Linked DNA regions of Rhinolophus ferrumequinum. The protein of the gene in region 1 purifies or fractionates together with the protein of each later gene. This does not show direct contact. Links are inferred from orthologs where the notes say so. Each region holds a gene or a part of one and is shown on either strand. Other genes may lie near its edges.

Region 1 (10,941 bases):
GGGAATTATAATTTCAGGAATTCACTGAATCACAAATCTCTGCATTAGACGGAATCAGAGAGGGGGGTAGACCTCTTAACCCTGAAATCCATGAGTTTTCCCTTGGAACCCCAACAGAGAGTGAATATTAGAACTTCAGTGTTCCTAACAAGCAGTGCTCCCATTCCCCGGGACAGGAAGACGGCATAAGCGGCAGCCTGTTTACCTCCTCACTGGGCAGGTACACCAGCACGTCTCCTGGAGCCTCCTTCCGACACAATTCAAGCACAGCTTGGCAGGCAGCTTCCACTCGATCAGTAGGGACAGTGTCCCTGTAGATGGGAGTGGGACACCTACCAGGCCCTCTGGGTACATGTACAATAGGAGGATCGCCCCAGAAGGCTTGGAGCTTAGGTTCAAAGGCTGGGTCAGTAACCACAACCACTCGGGGGTCGTCTGGAAGGTTTCCCAGCCTGGCATCTCGCAGCAGCCCCTGGAGTAAATCTGAGGCCACTGACCGCTCCTGAGCCTCATCCAGCACCAGCACGTCCCAGGCTCCAGTACCCCGGGTCGAGGCCACCTCTTGAAGAAGCAGCCTGTCCCAGCAAAATCTGTTGATGTTGACAGTGAGCAGAGGAGTCAGTGTGGACACTGACCAGCCCCAGAAGTCAGGGGAACTTCTCCCTAGGGGGCCTAGATTTTGATAGTGAAGGTCAGAAAGACCTTTTGACCGGATTCCTAAGCCTGTGGACCTGTAACAGTGACCCACAACCTCACTAACACTGTGCGTAAGCTGTACTCCAGCTGGGAAAGGGAGACTTGTGATGACGGTGAAGATGAATGAGGTGGGCTGGGGTTAAAGGGCTTCCGTGTTGCATAATGCATGATTTAAAGGGTGAGCTGGGCTGAGGGGGAGTATGGCGCGACGTTGGAGGACTGGGCTTATTCCTAGTGGGTAAGGGGAATTAGATGTGGGTTGGGCCTGTAGGAGGCCTCACCTGAGCAGGGTGTGGGGACCAGTGCAGTCCTCCTGGGGGATGCTATATCCAACCTCATGACCTAGGGTCAGGTCCATCTCATCAGCAACCCGCAGGGCCAGACTCAGGGCTGCCAGAGGGTAGGGCTGAGTGACAGTTACCCGGCCCTTCTGGAACCCCCTGGCCAGCGCAAACTCTGCACACCACTGAGGAATCTGGGGTAGGGGTAGGGAAGGACAATCAGTCAGCGAGACACAGGACTTCAGTCAGAAGTGCTAGGGGAGCTATGGCCAGTTTAATGTCTTCTTTCTGGGGGGAGTGTCCTGGTCCTTTACCACCCTGGGGCCAGCCTTAACAGACTCCCTTTGCCCACCTCCCCCATAATCCCTGGCAGCCCAATCCCCGCTTGCCAGGGAAGGGCCAGTTCCCTGGCCCCTCCCTCCTGTCTACTCCCAGAATCCCCCCCCCCCACCTGGGTGCTCTTGCCAGAGCCAGGCTCTCCAGACACCAGTACCACTCCACTGGGGCTACTCTCCAATTGCTCCAAGAAGATAAAGCGAGCAGCCCAGATAGGCAAGGCTCGGCGCTGCTCAAGAAGCTCGTAGTAGTGGGAAGAGAAGGGGAGCCCGTCAAAAGGGTTCACAGCCAGTTCAGACTCCCCAGGGCTCAGGCCAGACTCTTCTGCCAGCCTGAGAAGCTGAGAGGCCATGGTGGCTGACTGGCAGGACCTACAGAAGGTGGGGTAGTCATTAAAACCTTGTACCATCTTACCACCTCAGCCCTGATCCCTAATGTGTACCCTCAGCTGGTAATGCACTGGAATCCATTCTTTCCAGCATTTCTTGCCTGCCAGGAAACGGTGGAGAATTGAGTCTCCAAGTAAGGGACTATCAAAAGGGACTATTAACCTGTAGCCAGGTAGTACAAATCCTGGGTCTCTCTGTGAATCTCTGTAATTCAGCGGCAACAGGAGTTATGTGAGACCCGTGGGAAGGTCCCTGGGGGTGGGAGGGAATAGGAAAAGGAATAAGGGGCTGGAATTGAGGAGCAGGGCCACAAGGATCCTGGATTCAAACCTGCTTGCAGCTCTGAGACGTGTCCCGATGGCAGCCAGTTCCAGACCCGCCCAGCCAGTTCCCACCAACCTTGACCAGCGCTAAGTACAAAGGTAAGTTCCGGCCCCACCCTGGGGCTTGGCTCAAACATAATTCTTAAGACTGGTTCTGGGGTGGAACCATTTGCTCCACCTTATTTAACCTAGTCAGGAGCCTATAGAAAACAGGCTCCAGCAACGACTGAGCATGTGTTAACTTTACAGACACCATGTACTGTAAAAGGCATCCTGGGACGTGTAGTTTTGCTGCTATTTCTGCACAAACCTGGGCTGAACACCCCAGTTAGGTCCAGTTGCTGCTTGGTCTTCAGTTGTTACACTTCCTTAATATCACTCATTTTGACACGAGGAGGTGATTTCAGACAGTTCCATTCTGACCATCCCCCCACAGTCCTACAAGGACCACCTTATCCCCCCCCCCACCAAGGGAAAAGGAACGTGCTCAGGAGGCTTTTGAGACCCAGAGAGGCAACAGAGACCTTGAGTGAAAACCCTGAATTTAATGTGACACTGGGGGCAGGCCCATCCCTCCCTTTCTACCACCCACCCATCAGGCCTGTTGTGAGTTGGGTGAGGGCTGCCCCCAGTCTCCGTCCTGCGGCTCTGGGTACCATCCTGTGCTCAGTCAGCCTCCTGGGCCTGTCTCTCTGTGAATCTCCTGTGGGACATAGGGAGAAGACATTGTGTGGGCTTTGTCATAGTAGTTCTGTAATTAGCTTCCTTCTCCAACCTGCCCCTTCCTACCCATTGTCCTCGAAGCCCCTCACCTTCTTGCGTATTCGTATAGTGCTTGTTTGCGCTCCTGTAGGCTCTCCTGCCGGGCCCAGGAGGATTTGGCAAATGTTAGGGCTGTGGGCTGAGGGGTCACCGGGCCAGAGCTGGGAAACTGAGGTGATCACAATGTCAGAGGGCTTGCGAAGTCATCATCATTAAACACGCATCGAATGCCTACTTTGCAAGAGAGGCACTGGGCTAGGGTCTCAGGATCAAAAAAGAGACATCAGGGATAGGGAGTATGTAGAGTGCCCCATCCCACCCCAAGTCTTGGATCGGACCATTTCCTGGGTCTCACCTGGGGGGCAGAGGCTGCGGGATGGGACTGGGTCCCCTCAGTGATGTCTTCAGGCATGAAAGCTACAGCCCCCTCAAGCAGATTGGTGATGGTCAAGTCTACGCAGCCAGTCCTGGCTGGGGAGAAGGGAAGGAGGAAAGGGGATCTGTTGCGCTGTTCATCCTTTTCCCTCACCACCCATTTGTCCTCTCTGTCCCTGTCTTCTTTTGTGAGGCTACCCTTTCCCATACCCAGGTCTCTCTGGATGACGACCAGTGGCACATGGGGTAAAACCTCCTTGACTCTCTGAGCCAGAGTTGCCAGCTGCACATCAGGAGAAGGGCCCGGGGAGGGAGGGAAAGAAGATTGGGCTGCAAAAAAGAAATCCGAAATATGGTGAATGGAGAATGAGTAGGAAGGAGAGTCTGACTAGTACAGGAATAGGGAAGAAATCATAATAGGCTGGGAAAAAAACGAAAAGCTTTGTGTACAGCGACCACACACCTGACTGGGGGCGCAATCTAGGATGTCTTTGCCGCTTCATGTGCTCTGCTTTGTCTGCTGGAGTGAGTCGTGTTCCTGTCTGGCCCAATTTTTTGGCCACCAGCTAGGAAGAATTGGAAGGTTGGAAATGTCAAGGTTTCAAGCCTTCCTCCCCGTCTAAGGAGAGACCCCACCTCCAGCCTGCTTCTGTATGCTACCACCTGTTGTACACGGAAGGCAAACTCCTCATTCCCCTCTCCCAGCTGGCGATGAACAGGACGGAGCCACCTGAAAAAAACAATCAGGGCTATGTTGAGGGCAGCTGGGGCAGTCACCCTCTTCCCCACTTTGATTCCTCTTTTCATGGAACTATGGTGGTGAGGGTGGGGAGAGAATAAATACTTTGTACTGCCTCTGTGTTGGAAACTTGATATTAAAAAGATCTGCAAATGGATAGGGCAGAGGCAACTACTTCCTTGATCTTGAGGTGAGCTTTTCCCAGCCACCAAAAAGTGAAGACAATTAATACCTTACTTGATACACCGTGAAAGGAACAAACAGTGACCACAGCAGTTCTGAGACCCAGGAGGCATCTGACACTGTCTGAGGGGAAAGCACGAAGTGAGGTCTAAGTCAGGCCGGGACTGGGAAGCTTCATCCCAAAGCCCCGGGGAGTCCCTATCCAAGACACACTCACCACAGAGACTAGAGGTCTCTGGACTTGCAGGGTAAGAGGCTGTACCACATCCTGGATAGAAAATGGCCAGGAACTAGAAGAGGGAAGAGAGAATAGGACGGGATTTCAGCCAGTCCAGTTAGTAGCTCATATCTAACTTAAAACAGAAAACTGTCAAACTGTGTACCAAGTAGATGAATGAGGAATATAGGGATTCAGGGGAAGGAACCAAAAGTGGACAGAAAGGAACTAGAAATGGAGGGGGTAGGGCTGAAGAAGTGTGAAAAACCCAAGGGCCCCCCACGCCTGACCACCTACCCAGTCAGAGTCAAATACCTGTGTTCGTTCACCCACCTGAAGCGCAGGAGCCCCTCCCGGCCATTGGTGGCCTCTTCCTCTGGGAATAGCAGCAGAGGGGTAGGGGGAAGCCTCGTGGAAGCACAGAATCTCTTGAGTGACTCCACCAACTCCCCCCGCCCATCCATCTCCATGAAGCCCCGAGACCAGCATACAAAGCTGGGAGGACTATTGAGTAGAGGCTGGGAACAGGGAAGAGAGAAAGCAAGAAGAATGTTGGGAAGTGATAAAAACTGACATCTGGGGTAGAGAAGCGGGGTTAGCGTTAAGGCGCAGTATCTCGTGGTCCCCAAGGGAAGCCCGGGCGGGCAGAGGGAAGCCTTATGTTGGGCCCCAGGGAACTGCCCGTGGCACTCTCGGCTTCGCCCCCCACTCACGGTACTACAGCTGGTGAGCAGGTTGACTATGTTGTGGTCGAAAGGTGTCACGTGGTTGGAAATGAGGACCCTGACGCGGTGATCCCGGAGTTCGGAGTCCTCCTGCCGGGCCACGAGCCCTAGCACCGCACACATGGTCCGTACCACGAACCTGGGGACGCAGGCAGTGCTGACTGCACGGCCGTCGGCCCGGCCCAGCCTTGACCCTCCCCGAGCTCCCGGGTCGGAACCTGCGAAGGACGCTGTCTGGCAGCGCGCAGCTGACCAGGAAGACGTGGATCCCAAGAAAGAGGCGCAGGACAAGGAGACAGAACCCGACGGGCGCGTAGAGCAGCAGCGCTAGGAGCAGGAAGCCGTCACCCGGGAGCCTGGGGGCAAGAGGTGGGGTGATCGGGCGGCCGAAGGCCGAGTGGACGCGGGAGCCGGCCTCTTCCCGCCGGGAGTCTTACCGGTGCGAGTCAAAGAGCCGCTCCGGCCCCGGTGCCGGGGGAGGTTCCATCGCGGCTGCTTTAGGGGTGTTTGGTCACTGCCGCCATCTTCGTGCCCCGCCGCAGGGGCTTCTGGGAAGGAGGAGTCTTCCGGCGTGGGCCTCGGGTGCCAGGACCCGAAATCCTGAGGCGCCCCGGAAGGGCTAGCGGCCCCAGCATGCCTCGCGGGCCCTTGGGACACCTCAGTGCTCGCGTCCCTCAGAGACCACAATTCCCGGCATTCACGGGGCGGGGGCGGAGTCGGCCTCCCGGAATAATCCGGGTCCCGGCGTGCACTTCTAGAGGACTTCAGGTACCAGCGTGCCACGCGTCCCACGGTCCGCCAGCTCACGTCCATCCAGGGCGCCGCCTCTGTGTAGGGCGGGCGAGGAGGCAGCCGAGGCGGAGCTGATGGCTGCACTGAGGGCGGGGCGGGGTGCAGGCTGGAGACTCTGGGGATGGCGGGCTTTGGGGGGGGTTCGCTGGGGGAAGGGACCCCTGTTGACCCCTGACCTCCGGGCCCTACTGATGTCAGGAACTCCTGATCCTCGGGCCCTAATGACTTATGGGACTTCCAGGCTCCGGGTCCGGTTGTCTGTAGGGGTCCCTGGACCACGGACATGCCTGACGTCCGGGATTTCGGATTCCCGAGCACGGCTGACTGCGGGGACCCCAAGTCCCCAGACCCGGGAGAACTCAGGGAACCCTGGAGCCCGTCCGCGCGTGTGGCTAGCGGTGGCACTGGGCGCTGGAGGAGCAGTGCTGCTGTTGTTGTGGGGCGGGGGTCGGGGTTCCCCGGCTGTCCTTGCCTCTGTCCTTGGCTCGCCACCCACCTCTCCCCGGAGCCAGTACAACTTCATCGCAGACGTGGTGGAGAAGACGGCACCTGCCGTGGTTTATATCGAGATCTTGGGCCGGTAACGGTGGGGTAGTTCTGGAGGCACCGAAGCCGCGGGCAAGAGGGCGGGCGAGCAGGAGGGGTACGAGCTCCTCACCGTGCCTTCCCCCTATCCCAGGCACCCTTTCTCAGGCCGCGAAGTGCCTATCTCGAATGGCTCAGGATTCGTGGTGGCTGCTGACGGGCTCATCGTTACCAACGCCCATGTAGTAGCTGATCGGCGCCGAGTCCGTGTGAGGCTGCCTAGCGGCGACACGTATGAGGCCATGGTCACAGCTGTGGATCCCGTGGCAGACATCGCCACGCTGAGGATTCAGACCAAGGTGGGGATCCGAGCAGGCCGGGTCTGGTTGGGGCTGTTTGCTTGCATCGCCAGGTGACAGGTCCCTTGTACCCATTCTCCCGTAGGAACCTCTCCCCACACTGCCCCTGGGACGCTCAGCGGATGTCCGGCAAGGGGAGTTTGTTGTTGCCATGGGAAGTCCGTTTGCACTGCAGAACACGATCACATCTGGCATTGTCAGCTCTGCTCAGCGTCCAGCCAGAGACCTAGGCCTCCCCCAAACCAATGTGGAATACATCCAGACTGATGCAGCTATTGATGTGCGTCCTGATATGAGAGAATTGACAGTCTAGGTTGGGGGAGGGGTATAGACTGTGTGGTGCAGGCACCAAGTGGGAGAGACGGTGGATGAGCCTATATATTCAGGTTGAGCTACAAAAATGTGGCCACTCATTCATAGGCTGGGAAAAGAATTTGGAGAAAATGCCTACATCCTGGTTATGCCCCCAGGCATAAGAATCCCTGGATCTTTTCCATATTTTCTCCTTGTCCTGCAGTTTGGAAATTCTGGAGGTCCCCTGGTTAACTTGGTGAGTGGGTCATCCTTTCCAAGAATCCCTGCCCAGGTCAGTGTGGGTCGGGGTGGGTTTTCCCTAATTCAATGATGTTTGGTCAAGTTTCTGAACAGTCCCTTGTTGGCTACCTCCCAGAACCCAACCAGATCTCCTAAACTCCCCAACACTCCCTGCTACTCTTGTTCAGGTACCCCCATCTCCAACTATTTGTTTGGGCTAGGGAACAGTGGGCTCTGTCCCTGCAGGATGGGGAGGTGATCGGGGTGAATACCATGAAGGTCACAGCTGGAATCTCCTTTGCCATCCCTTCTGATCGCCTTCGAGAGTTTCTGCATCGTGGGGAAAAGAAGAGTGAGCCTGGCTTAAGTTGTGGGAAGGGCATTCATGGGGCCTTGCTGGAGAGGGGTGTATTGGGAGGAGAGGGAGGGGAAGGAAGAATGTAGCTGGGTGGGGCTCATTTTTCTCTTTATCATAGATTCCTGGTTTGGAATCAGTGGGTCCCAGCGCCGATACATTGGGGTGATGATGTTGACCTTGACTCCCAGGTATGAGCTTTAAGGATAATGACACATAGGACCATCAGTGTACTCAGTCGTGTGCATTTGCCACTTCATTTGAGCTTTGTTCTCAATTCTGTGTTTATCTGTGGTGAATTGCCTCACACTTGGAGCTATCCGAAGAGCTGTCCTCTCTTGTCATCTTGACTTTCTCATCACGCTGCATTTTGCACACCTGCCACCAGATTGATTTCATCCTATTACTGCTTTGATTTAAAACCTTCAATCTGTTAACCTGGTGTTTAGGGGCCATTTTCCATTTGTCTCCAATTCAACCTTCCTGACCTGGCTTCTTAACATGAATGTATTCTGTTTCAGCCAACCTGATTTCCTACTCCCAGGTTTTTATTTTTGTTGTTTTTGTTTTATATATTTAAATATCAGACCCATCCTTCTAGGCTCAGCTTCAGTTCTACTCCCTCCTTAAAGCTTCTCTTAGGATTTTAGAATGAGATTCGTGCTATTGATTTAACACTGTGTCATTTGGAATTAGGTAACTTTTGTATACACGTCCCACTTCCTAACTACTAGAAGGCAGAAAATGAATTGACTATCTGGAGTACCTAGTGCATACAATTGTCAGTGTGTTGACGAGAGATTTGAGGTGAACCTGAGATGGAGAGGGCATCTTGGTGTGGATAACAGGGTGGTCTGTGTCTTTCCAGCATCCTTGCTGAACTACAGCTTCGAGAACCAAGCTTTCCTGATGTTCAGCACGGCGTGCTCATCCATAAAGTTATCCTGGACTCCCCTGCACACCGGTGAGGGAGACACTGCACTGAGGTGGGGGGCGGAGACACGCATGTACCCTTGAACTGGGGTATCTATTCCCTCCTTTCTCTCTGTCCACCTTTCGCCATAGGGCTGGTCTGCGGCCGGGCGATGTGATCTTGGCCATTGGGGAGCAGTTGGTACAAAATGCTGAAGATATTTATGAAGCTGTTCGAACCCAATCCCAGCTGGCAGTGCGGATCCGGCGGGGACCGGAAACATTGACCTTATATGTGACCCCTGAAGTCACAGAATGAATGGATCAGCAAGAGTATTAGGCTGTTGCTCTGATTTCCACTTTGCTTTCTTGGCCTAGGCTCTGAGGGCACCTGGACAGAGGATTAAATGAACCAGTGTGGGGGGCAGGTCCCTTCAACCACCAGCACCAATCCCTGGGCTCCGAGGAATCACAAAAACACTTTTTATATAAAATAAAATTATACCTAGCAACATGTTATAGTCAAAAATGAGGGGGCAGGCGCTGATCTTCTTCCCCACACAAAGGCTAGAGGTAAAGCTGTATACTCCTGAACTGGGGAGATACTGCAGCTGACCATTCTGACCTCCCTCTTCAAGAGAATGAGCTGCTGCTGCTTTCGTTCTGGCCAGTTAATCAGGTGCTGCTCTTTGTGGCCTGCTCAGCTCAGCGCTGGGCTTGGGAGCCAGGATTCCCCATGTGTGGCCACAGATCCAGACAGCTGGCCTAGGAAGGAGGGCGGTAACTTCTGCCTGACAGCTCCACATCCATAGCGCACACCGGCCGAGTGTGGCGGCCCTGCTGACATCAGGGGTTCCTTGGTAAGCTCCTGAGGTAATGGCAGCCTCAGACCCCCGCCATTAGGGGCCAGTGGTGGTTTGCAGAGGTGGGCGGTAGCACCTTAGACGATCTGGTTGCTGGTCTGGCCAGGGTAGCGCTCAAACCTCTTGTTGGCCTCTTCACTGAAGGCATCATCTGCAAGGTGAATGGGCAGTTTGGGCAGGAGAACAGACCCACTGAGGGGAAGCGGGGGTAGAGGTGGACAGGCTGGGGGCTCCGGAGGTCGGGGGGAATGCACAGCAACAAGAAGAGAATGAGGCCTTTCCCTCCCATCCCCCAGTCTTCCTGCTGCTCTGCCCACCAAATACCAAGGTGGCAGTTGTGCACCCAGATGCGGTGGCCGTCGTATTTGCAGTTACATTTCATCGCGTTGTTGGTGTAGTCACTCTCTGCCACTTCAAAATTGGGGTTGATGACCACCTGAGCGGGAGAAAGGCAACATGATCCAAAGGTGTCTTTAATAAATACTCCTCCCTCAACAGCAGGCCATCTCAAACCCCAGGCACCTGCAGAATGTAGTTTCCTGGCTTCACATCTGTGATGTCAATCCACTGACAGTCAATGTCATGCCGGTAGAGATCCCAGCAACCCACGGTGATGCCCTGCTCGCCAAAGTTGGCACACTCGTACCTCTTGGAGACATCTGAAGGGATTTGGCACGTGTCAGTGTGAGGCGAGGCTGTGGGCTGGAGATACTGTAGTCCATTCTAGGCCCCAACTCACCCTCCTGGCACTCGGTGTCTTCCAGACAGAAACTAGCTTTGTGGCCCTCAGCCACCTTGGTGCCGTTGGGGGTCAGGATATCATAGTGAGTGAAGATGTCCATACTGTGGTAATGCCTGTGGGGATAAGGGACAAGGGGACCCGTTTTCCTTCCTGCCCCCAGTAGGCTAACCCTGTCCCCAGTGGACTTGCCCTTCTCCTTAATCCTCTCACCCATGACACTCATGCCACACCCAGGAGTGGCGCCCAGCCTTGGGCCTGAAGTCAGCTCGGCCCAAGTTGTGAATCTGCGAGGAGAATCGGAGTAGACGCCGGTGGCCGTAAGGCCAGTTGGCCAAGTGGGCCGAGCGGGCCAGGCAGTTCTCTTCCGCAGCACAGTAGAGCATGTGCAGGGGCCGGTCCTCGATGTAGGCGGTCTCCTGCACCAGTGCTGAGTGCAGCAGCAAGTCGGATGCGGCTGCGCCAGGAGGGAGGGAAGGGCCGTGTTAACAGTCACTGCTGGGGCAGGGGCGCTGGGGGTGCTTCCAGCCTGTGGTGGGTGAGGCTGGTTTTCCAGATGGAAGGAGTACCCCTCCACCAGATTACAGCCTCTCGCTGAAAGGGGTGGCCCCGCACGCCCCTTCCCTAGATTGCTCTTCACTCACTCTCAGAACAGATGACTCCAGCCGTGAAGCGGGTTTCTGTTCTCTTGCAGGCGATGTGGGTGCCGTGATGAGCACATTGGTCCAGGGACAACTCGGCCCCTGTGCAGCGTACTCCACTCATCACTATCTCTGTTATGTTCCCCGAGTCCCAGTACCAGGTCTCCTGGGGACATGTGTAGGTGATTCTGTGAG
Region 2 (10,503 bases), on another chromosome or scaffold:
ATTTGGAATACCTTTCATTCCTAGCTAAATGGTCCCAAGGATCATAGCAACACTGCTCAGTGAAGGCAGCTGTTCTCCAATTTCCAAAAAGTAACAGGAAATTTTCCTTTGTTAATAATTCCATATCTTTACCCAGAAACCAACATGACAAATGGCACTACAAAATAATTGCCAAATCAGAAATCAAAAAGATACAAGTCAAAAATCACTGAAATTCCTGGCCCCCGGCTCTGTTTTAAAATTCTCAATGAGAATGAGAGGAGATAGGAAGGCTAGATCTCTCCAAGAGAAATCGAAAGACCCTACACAAAGGCATTTCTAATTCTTGGTAAAGCTTAGAAGATGTCCTGAGCACTCATCGTCTGAACTCAGGTGGCAATCTTTCCCTAGAGAGACAGCAAGACATCCTGAAATGTACAAGGAGCATCTCCTGCTCTTCACACATTGCCAGTGAAGATTAGGAAGTTCATACTGATTAATGTATTTTAGGATCCCCTCCAGACATACCCTCTACTTATTGGTGCCTTGTAAAGTGAACTAATGGCAAACAATCAAGAGATGCTGAATTCATGCTTATAGGATAGCTGGGCTTAACTTCTACCTATTGTCAGTTGTCTATGTAAGAGAACAATCAATTTGCAGCTTGAGGCCAACAAAATAGACTAGTTCTGTATCTTGACTGTGGTGGTGGTTACAAAAATATACACATGTGATAAAATAATATGTACCTATACACATACTTATACCACTATTAATTCCCTGGCTTCCATATTGTACTATAGTTATATAAAATGTAACCAGTGGAGGACACTGGGTGAAGTATACACAGGAATCTCTCTGCAACTTCCTGTGACTCTGTAATTATTTCAAAAAGATTGTTTTTTAAAATGCAATTGATGTAAAAAATCATCCAACAGTTTGGGAAACATGAGAGAATTTATAAATTTGTTGAAAGGGGTGATGTAACGCTAAGTGCACACCAAAGGAGGATAATGGGTGATCATGGTGCAGCCTGGAAAGAGCTGGAGTTTGTCCAACTCCCCAAAATATAGTCCAATCAAACATTTATTGAGTACATAGTACATGAGGACAGTGCTATAAATAGTAGCAGGATTAAGAAAAATTAAATTAATTTACTCTCTAAGCAGATAAAATAGAGTAACTATTAAAGGCCTAAGAGTCTCTGAAAAAGCAGTTCCCTTTGCTTTTAGAAAAATAAAATGCTCTTCTATTTTTCTAGTTAATTCTTACTCATCCTTAACTCTCAGCTCATTGTCACATCTTCGGGGAAACCCTCCCTAACCTCACTGCCCTCCACCGTAGATCATATTCCCCTATTACCTGCTTATAACAGCACCCTATATTTTTCATTCATAACACTAACTGCCATTCATAAACAAAGAACTGTGTGACCATTTGAAATCTACTTCTCCTATTAGGCTAAAATCTCCAAAAGGGCAGACACAGGTCTGTGTAGCTCGCCACTGTATTCCCAAACCCAATGCCATGTAAATGACAGAAGCTCAAAGCATATCACGTGAATAAATCTATACAGAGCTATAATTCATGTGTACAAACAAGCAGGCTGACAATAAGAGTTACTGGGGTTTGGGTGAACCCTAGATCACTTCAACTTGAGAAAGCCAGTTTACAAGGGATGGAAGGTCCACATAGAGGATAAAGAATCTTACATCCGAAGCTGAGAATGAAATGTCAGCCCTTCAGCAATAAAAACCCATTAAAAAACTGAAAAAGGGCATGGCATATCCAATGTATTGTACAGAAAAATTAATGTAGAGAATGAACTTGAACTTGAACTGGGAGGGTAAGACACTCGAGGCAGTAAAAAATACTTGCAAGGACACTGTGGTAATGCAGGCCCAAAATGATAATGTTCTGAATGAGAGGGTGACCATGGGAACAGACAGATGTGAGAGACACCAAGAGTAACGAGCTAACAGAATGTAAGGACTGATTAGATACAGGAGCATGAAAAATGGAAAGAGCCAGAGATAATTCAAGGGGTTTACAGTAAGTTATCAGTTAAAGATACCATGTTTCCCCGAAAATAAGACCTAGCCAGATAATCAGCTCTAATGCGTCTTCTGGAGCAAAAATTAATATAAGACCCAGACTTATATTATAGCTGGTCTTATAATAAAATAAAACCAGGTCTTATATTAATTTTTGCTCCAAAAGACGCATTAGAGCTGATTATCTGGCTAGGTCTTATTTTCGGGGAAACATGGTAGTACCATTAACAGAAATGGGAAGTCATGACTAAGTCTTCTTAGGAGATGCAATGTGTTTTGTTGAAAGTGATGGATAACATCCAAACAACTGAAGACGTGACATTAGATGGACAAAAGTCAAGGCTGGCAATGTACATGTGTGAGTTGATCACAGTTATGGTCACAAGAGTGAATAAGACCACTAGAAGGAAGAACCTATAACAGGCCTTGAATAAAAACCCTTTAGAAACCATTTGATTTGCCCCTCACACGAATTCCGTTGAGCAGCGAGTCATTCAGACTGTGAGCTCCCTGAGAGGCATATCTGATCTCATCCTTGCATTCCCTAAAGTATATGTTACAGGGTGTTGTACATAACTGGTGCACAATAAGTACCCTATTAAAGAAATCAATTATTTTAAAGATAATTTGATTACTATTTCCTGTTCCACTTGCACGTTGAGTTTCAAAAAGTGACGCCCTGGGCAGTACTTTGAAATGAACAGGATTCACTTTAAATTAGTATAATCAGTGAGTTTTAAGTCACTTATTCAAATCTCTGATTTCCTAAGGCTCTAGGACTGAAGAATGGACAGACCAGACTTTTGGACTGTAAAAACTTAAAAAAAAATAAGAATAATAAAGCCCCCAATGAGACTAGGGCTAAAGTAAATCCCCACTAGAAGTAGAGAATACTCTTCAAGAAATTTTTTAATAAACTTAAACAGGAAATATTATTTACTGAAGGCATGAAACAAATCAAAATTTTCAATTGTATGCACTATACAAGTTAACAAAAATTAAAAAATTAAAGAAGCTTCAGGTGAAATAAAAGACAGAGGAAGTAAAAGGGAACTGAGAACAGTCAAGACACGTACTTTCTTAAAAAATGAGGGGAAAGTCGTTGGCCTGCTCTCCCACAAAACATTCCTGGCTATTATAGTCAGAGGTGGAGTAATCGGCTAATCTGATTCAATACTTAGGTGAACAGTATTCCCCTAGTTGCAGTTTAAAAGTAAGAAAAAGGACTGCTAAAGTGGATTAGGAGACAAATTTATTGACAGCTCCCCTCCCCAATTAAATTATCAAGGTTGCAGTATACCAAAATGCTCTAACCCTGAATGACAAGCAAATATCCTAGGTGCTTCAAGATATCTGAGTGTGTTTGTGGGAGAAGTTAGGGAAGAGAAAAGAAACCAGTTGGAGTCACAGACCCTAAGAATCTGACTAGTCGTCTGTAACCCAACTACCCCCTCAATATCAGACTGACTCTTCCAGAAGTCTAAAAGATGGTCAACCAGTGTTTGCCTGCTTGTTTCCAGCAATAGCAAATGGACCGTTGGTAAACGGATCACTCAGAGTTGGATGGATCTAATTTGTTCCAAAACCCTTCCAAGTTATCGCCCAGTAACTTTCACCTCTGGTACTGGTTCTCTCTAGAGTAACATAATGAAAGTCCTGTTTTGTTTTTATTTTTTATGCTAGGGAAAAAACACACACAAAAACTAGGTATTACTTCCTGGCATGTCAATACGTTCTCTTCTTTCAATAATAGGAAAATTTGATCTGTTGTTTCAACGTCTGACTCCCCATGAAGAAAAAAAAAAAGAAATGCTAGGCGAAGGTTCCTTTAGATTCAGAGCTGCGACCTCCAAAGTAAAGAAAAGGGACTTAAATGACTACATACACTGGGAGACGTTGCAACTGATATGAAATCCCCGTTGCCAAGAAGCTAGCTGCTCTAGCCCGTGCCCGGGTGCTGAGACGCGACAGAAGCCACACAGACCTGGCCTGGCATCTCGGAGGCTGTGGAGCCTGCACCTCTTCTTGCCAAAGCCTCGGGGGGCAGAGTGGGCGCTAGTTCTCAGGCCAGCGGCAAGCCCGGCGCCTTACAGGACAGAGCCCTGCGCCCCAGAGAAGCGGCACCACTAAGAGAAAGGCTCAGTGAAGCGCCTGGCAAAGCCAGAGCCGCGTCGCCAAGCCGGCTGCCCGTACGCCCAAGCACCCCACCCGCTGGACGCCGTCCTGAGAACCGGCACGGGTAGGAGCTCCGGGAGTTGGAGACGTCTCGGGCTCGGCCGGGGTTCCGTCTATCACTCCCGCCCACCCTCTCTCACACCCCGGCCCAAAGCTGAGCCGGAGGCGACCCTAAGGGGTGGTGCCCAGGAGACACGCTGCGTTTTGGGTGAATGCTGCGAGCCGGGCCCGAGCTCCCGGGTGGGCGGCTGCGGCGGGTCACTCACCGAGAGGACGCTCATGCGGATTGGGGTCTCCAACAGGCACGCCATCTTGAGCCTTCCCACCCGGCTACAGCCGGCGCCGGCGCGGGGGCCGGCACTTTCGACAGCGAACTCTTGGGCCAATGACAGACACCTCTGCAGAAAGTCGGGCAGGTAGATGAGAACGGAGCACGGTCTACACACCGCTGAAGTACGGCCAGGGCCCGCAGAAGGGAAAGCAAATGGAAACCGCGCCAGAAGCCTCCTTACGAATCGTCCTCTCAGAAACAGCAGCTACTCTCAGCCTGGGTTAGAGGTGGGAGCGGGCAGCAGTTTCCGCATGCGCAAGGAAGATCTGCCGGCCCCACCTGCCGCTCGCGGTGGGCGGAGCCTCAGGGGCGGGGCCTCGCTCTGGCGCTACGAGCCTCGCAGACTGGTTCGTAGCAGTTACGAGTTCGCGTATTCATATTACGCAAAACTGGTCTGTGGTGCCACATACATAATTTGAAATTCACTTTTACATTCATTATCGCTTTCTTTGCACCAAACTCCTAGTGTCATATGTCTACTTTACAGATGGAGAAACCGTGATCTCAGTACTAGGTCGTCTGCCACCAATGAGAGTGTTTCACGATCCAACACTGACGTTTGACCTGCTTTAGCATTGTCTGCCCTATCTGTTTATTCTGGTGGTGTGTTAAGAATAGATACTCTAGAGGCAGAACGCCGGGTTTAATCCTTTCTACTTCATTTATTAGCTGCATTACCTCCAGCAAGTTACTTAACCTCCTTTAAGTCAGTTTTCTGTTTTGAGGATGGAGAATATAAAGCTCTTAAAAGTAGAAAGCGTTATTATGTCAGCGTTTCTCTAGCCTCTGAGTCAAGCAGAAAAAAAAAATAGGGCAAATGTTGGAGTAATTCACACCAAAACGCTCCGATAACTGAAGCCAAATAAAAACATGCTTCTAATATAGTATTGTTGATTGATTAATTCAGCTCTCCACTCCGTGTGTGTGTGTGTGTGTGTGTGTGTGTGTGTGTATACAAAACTGCTCTGGACTTGGCTGGACAGGTTTCACCTCCGTGCTGTTTGCAACCAGTAAGGTTTTCACAGGATGGTTGCAATGAGCCTGTCACATTATTTGTCTTCCTTCCATTTCTATAGCCACTCCGTAATTCAGGCAGTTATTATCTCTCCCCTAGACTAGAGCAATAGCCTTCCAACTGATCCTGTAGACTCTAGCCTCTCCTTCACTTTACTCCTTACTACTTTCCTATCTTCCCCTGTACATGGTTTCTAAATTTATCATAACATTAATTATCCTTGCTTATGGGTTTGTGTGTCCCTAACAAACTGTTGAGTTTCTAGAAGGCAGGAATTTCTTTTTAGATTTTCCTTCTTCTACAGCACTGTTTCCCAAACTTCATTAATCTGCATACCATCCACACAATCTTTGCCAATCTGCATCCAGGTATTATTACTCAGTGTTTTTCTTTAAAGCCAATTTCAACTCATTAAATAAGCCTCATCCTAAACCGTAGTACTCTGTAAAGTCAAGTTTATTGTGTTGCTTATTTTTATTCTAGTACACATTAACATAATAACCACAAAAAAGTTAAAATGTCCATCCATGTATTACCTAAAATCATGTCATGTACTGCATACCACAACAGAGCAGAGCATAACACACAGAGGTATCAATTGAGTATTCAGTTGACATTTGTATGATATGGAGTTCTTCTAGCTGTATTTGATCCGCTTCATCCATTAGCTCAAGCAATGTATACCTCCGAGGTATAGGTTAGGTGACTCCTCCCCCATGTCTTCATGCATCTCTCTATTCTTGCCACTTGAACATAGCATCTCCAACGATATATTGTAACTTTTTTTGTAACCATTTATTTGTTTGTTTCCCAATTATACACTTTGGGGCAGGAACTAGGAATTTTACCTTCTAGATCTTTTATCTCACTACCTAGCATAGAACAGTCACTTAGTAAATGTTTGTTGAATGAAGTTTGGCTTAGTTTGGGCACCCCCAAAGGCAGATCCTGGGACAATGATTTTGGTGCTGATAGTTTGAGAAGTTTCTGTTTCCAGGGAACAGAACTGATGGGTAAAGAAGAATGAGAAAAGAAAGAAAAAAAGTCAATATCAAGGTTCATTGTTGAAGTCACTGCTTATTCCTTGAGGACCTCTGAGAAAACATACAGAATGCTCCCCTGAATATCCCTCTTGAGGTTGGAGCATTTATTCGCTACTCTTGTCTTGTACTGGTTGAGAGTTTTACCAGGGCTGTTAACTCCCTTCCCTCCTGAATTGTACTTGTGCACAGAATAGAGAGGACTTCCTTAACCTGATGTAGAAAAGCAGAATCTGTATGCTTGCTTTTGGGGTGGGATACAGGCAGCATGAATCTGAGCTTACAAAAGAACCATCATTACAGCTGTGGGTGAAATCAGAGTGAGGAAGGGCTAGGGAATGTGACTCAAGGCATCCAACATCTCTGCTACCCAGGCTTTCCTGTTTTATTTCCAGAAGACTGATGTGACTATTTTACAAGAAGGAAGCATTGATTAGCAAGTTCCTAACCTTGAGAATCAGGAATCAAAATTTGCTGCTACATAACCTTAGGTACACTCTTCAAACCTAAGTAATGAATAGAAATTGAGGGGGAGTAAGAGATTTTGATTCAGCCTCCACATACCAAAAACAAGAGTTAACTTTTGCCCTGTGGGGTGGAACGGGAAATATCCACACTGATTCCCCTGCAAATAAGAATGAAATTTCTCCCCATCCTCCCTTGACTCTTATCTGAAAGCAATATTAATTTTTGAAAAAATAATGAAAACAAAGGGTGAGTTTAATTTTTTTTTAAAAAAGTAGAAATGCAAAACATTAAGTAGCCAGAAAGAAATCTGAAAAGTATTTATAAATATCTAAATGGAACTGCCAAGATAAAGAAACAGCACCATATTTTTGAAAGTAGAAACATACCTATGCAAAAGGAGCAAAACTTAAAAGTGTAGAAAGGTAGATGTAAACCAAAAACTGAATGGCCTCAAAGGAATTTAGAAGAACCTTTAAAAAGATTTGAAGACAAAGGAGCTTCTTCAAATAAATAAAAAAGAAAATGGACTAAGATATCTATAGAAGCGATATAGTTCAGTTCAACAGACATGAACTGTGGGTTTACCTGTGCACACATTGTATGAGGGATTCAAAGTGGAGTCGAGATGTGGTTTCTGCCTTCAAGCAGACAGGAATAAAAGTGAGACCCTGAGTGGTCCAATAATTAGCTTAAGGTTGCTCAGGGGGTAAGAGGCTAAAACCATTTGAATCCAGGCTTCTCTGTTTCAAAGTCCTTCCCAGAGCTCTTACAGTCCTCTGGGATCCTACAGGACTCTCCCACATGGGACAACTGAGCACTCACCTGAGTAACCAGCCAGTTAGAAAAGTCTACAAGGGCTTTGCAATGGGAAACAATGCATCCATAATTCATCAGGTGCTTGGAGGATGTAAAATATGTATATGTATAAAGCAGAAGTAGTAAGCTGTTGAAAAGCCTTTTTTATTTTTTAGAAACTACAGTAAAAAAGGAAAATGATTTTAAAAAAATAACTGAATTACTGTTAAGGTAGAATTCCAAATTCCAAAGATAGATGCGATGATGGAATTTGGAAGCCATCACTTGACAACCATATGAGTTATAGTCATATCAGGCAAGGCTCATCAACGGATGCTAAAACTAATTGGTGAAAATATGGTGAGAAACAGGATTATGTGTACAGCCTCAAAGTATCTCCTCACAAGTTACTAATGATAGTAGAGAAACTTGATAGATACCGCTTTATTCAGATGATTATAATGAATATCACGAGTAATGGGATAAATAGACACCATCATATGATGCACTGAGAAGGACACAACATCACTTCTGTGGTATTCCTGTCACAAATGCACGCGTGCAATCATGAGGAAATATCAGCAAACCCCAACGGAGGGACAGTCTACAAAATTACACATCCTTCAGCATTGCTGTGACAGACAAAAACTGAGGAATTCCTCTAGATTAAAGGAGACGAAAGTGGTATGAGTACTAAATACAACTTGTGATCTAGGACTGAATCCTGGGTAAGTGAAAACATTTTTCTTTTTGCTGCAAAGGACATCAATGGCAAAATCTGAACAAAATCTGTAGATGAGGTATCATTGTTAATGTCCTCGTTGTGATAATTATATTATTGTTAGGAAGGTAATGCCCTTGTTCTGAGGAATTACAAGGGGAAGAATTTAAGTGTAAACAATATTGAGTTGCTGTGGATTAAGCAATTATTTTTTCTTTAACAATGAAAAACGGAACACATTTTGAGAATTTAAAAAAGAGAGAGAGGACTAAGGATCCTGGAAATTTATTCATTCGAGAAAATATATATACTGGATACTTACTATGTGCCAGCCACTGTGCTCAGAAGTGGTAATACAATCATGAGCAAGATAGACACCTTCCCTGTTCTCACAGAGCTCCCAGGCAAAAGGTAAAGAGAGACAAGTGAACAAATCATTAAATGTGGTATGATAAGTTAAAGGGTATGAGACGAAGGGAAACCTCAGCAGGAGTGAAGTCACAGGAAGTCCTTCTGGTGCAGGCAGCACCCAAGCTCTGACCTGAAGTATAAACAGGAGCAGACCACGCAAACCCTGTGTGCTACTCTACATAGACTCTGGCTTGTCCATAAACATTAATCGAATTGAACAATTAAGACACCACTTCTCTATACTTAGATGTGGGAACTCTTATAGAGAAAAATCACAGGCCCAAAATGGCATCACTGGTGATAAAAGCCAATGACACCAAACCTAGAGTTAATACCCGATCTAATTGCAGTTTTATCCTCTCCCAGAAATGTAATCTTAATCAAATCATCTGGAATTTTCTGGTCAAACACCAGTAAGGTAATCTTTGGGCCCTCAAAGAAAGGCCCCATTCCCCCAAAGACAGAAGAGGCAATACGCATGATAAAAACTCTTGCTTTTTGTTGTCTTCTCCCCAAAAAAGAAGACGTCTGGTCTAAAAATAATCCTTTCTTTTCTTTTGTCTATAGCGCTCTTGCCCTACCCTTCTTCCAATAAAAACCTTCCTTCTGTACAACGACTTGGAGTAATCTTACAGGTGCTAGATGGCATGCTACTCTTCAAATTTACTCAGTTGAATTTTGTGTTTTAACAAAACACTGGCAATCCTACAAAATTAGTGCAAAGACAAGAGCTCCAATTATTTATAGGAAAAGAGACACTATAAAATCAGCAGGTCTTCACATGGCTATATAATCTGGATTGCCCAGGTAATAAAAAGACACCCCTTCCCACCCCAAAGCAATGGTGACCACGTTACGCTGATGTGTTTCAAAATGGAGAAGCAAAGATAACAAGGTAGGCAAAGTAAATCTGATCTTTTCACGATTTATAATACAGGAATGGAATCTGGAAGTCTTAAAACCTATAAAGGAGAGATATTGTGTGTGTGTGTTTTCTGATGAAATCAGAAAGTCCAGTGAAATATCTAACAAGTTTCCGATTCAGAGGCTAGAGACACCACACAGAATTCTTAGGCCTCTGTGATATTTGCCTCCATTCAGTTTAGTTTCACCACCACAGACGGGATCTCTCCTTCAATGGTTTTACTTAGTGTGCTGCCATCAGGTGGTGGTAGCTGCCATAATCACCTACGTAGTTCTATTATAAAATGCAGATAGTAAGGATGGTGTTTTTCCTGATGTTTGTAACATTTTATAACCTGACTTAAAAATTTATTGCCCAAAATTTCCATTTTTCACTCCCTTAATCATAAAGGTTTCTGCTCAATTATGTCACCTTAAAAGCATGGTCTTCCATAACCACCCTATATTCATTCATTAAGTACTTAATATACTGGGTACCTACTATGTGCCAGGCACTGTGCATTTCTTATCCCCTTATTCTGCTATATTTATTTAATTTTTTTTAATGTTTTTGTTGGGGAATGTTGGGGAACAATGTGTTTTTCCAGGGC

The links.
Region 2: the proteins of HTRA2 (region 1) and ARMC8 purify together in Homo sapiens (affinity purification with mass spectrometry; 5 studies listed by BioGRID and IntAct, with this or other methods). This does not show direct contact. The link is inferred for Rhinolophus ferrumequinum from reciprocal best matches to the Homo sapiens genes HTRA2 and ARMC8.

The regions. Positions count from the first base shown.
Region 1 is NC_046296.1:17,527,246-17,538,186, reverse strand, and holds HTRA2 (serine protease HTRA2, mitochondrial), read left to right. Parts: upstream 1-5,870; 5' UTR 5,871-5,892; coding exon 5,893-6,398; intron 6,399-6,497; coding exon 6,498-6,702; intron 6,703-6,787; coding exon 6,788-6,982; intron 6,983-7,219; coding exon 7,220-7,288; intron 7,289-7,482; coding exon 7,483-7,588; intron 7,589-7,712; coding exon 7,713-7,782; intron 7,783-8,459; coding exon 8,460-8,555; intron 8,556-8,656; coding exon 8,657-8,822; 3' UTR 8,823-8,854; downstream 8,855-10,941. Other genes in the region: ATP-dependent RNA helicase DQX1, read right to left, coding at 206-590, 978-1,171, 1,429-1,722; lipid droplet-regulating VLDL assembly factor AUP1, read right to left, coding at 2,692-2,728, 2,838-2,956, 3,143-3,258, 3,373-3,492, 3,626-3,728, 3,826-3,892, 4,134-4,207, 4,302-4,374 and 3 more; LOXL3 (lysyl oxidase homolog 3), read right to left, coding at 9,444-9,517, 9,691-9,802, 9,889-10,025, 10,106-10,221, 10,319-10,562, 10,750-10,912.
Region 2 is NC_046300.1:37,365,453-37,375,955, reverse strand, and holds the start of ARMC8 (armadillo repeat-containing protein 8), read right to left. Parts: upstream 5,096-10,503; 5' UTR 4,520-5,095; coding exon 4,475-4,519; intron 1-4,474. UniProt on the Homo sapiens protein: Component of the CTLH E3 ubiquitin-protein ligase complex that selectively accepts ubiquitin from UBE2H and mediates ubiquitination and subsequent proteasomal degradation of the transcription factor HBP1.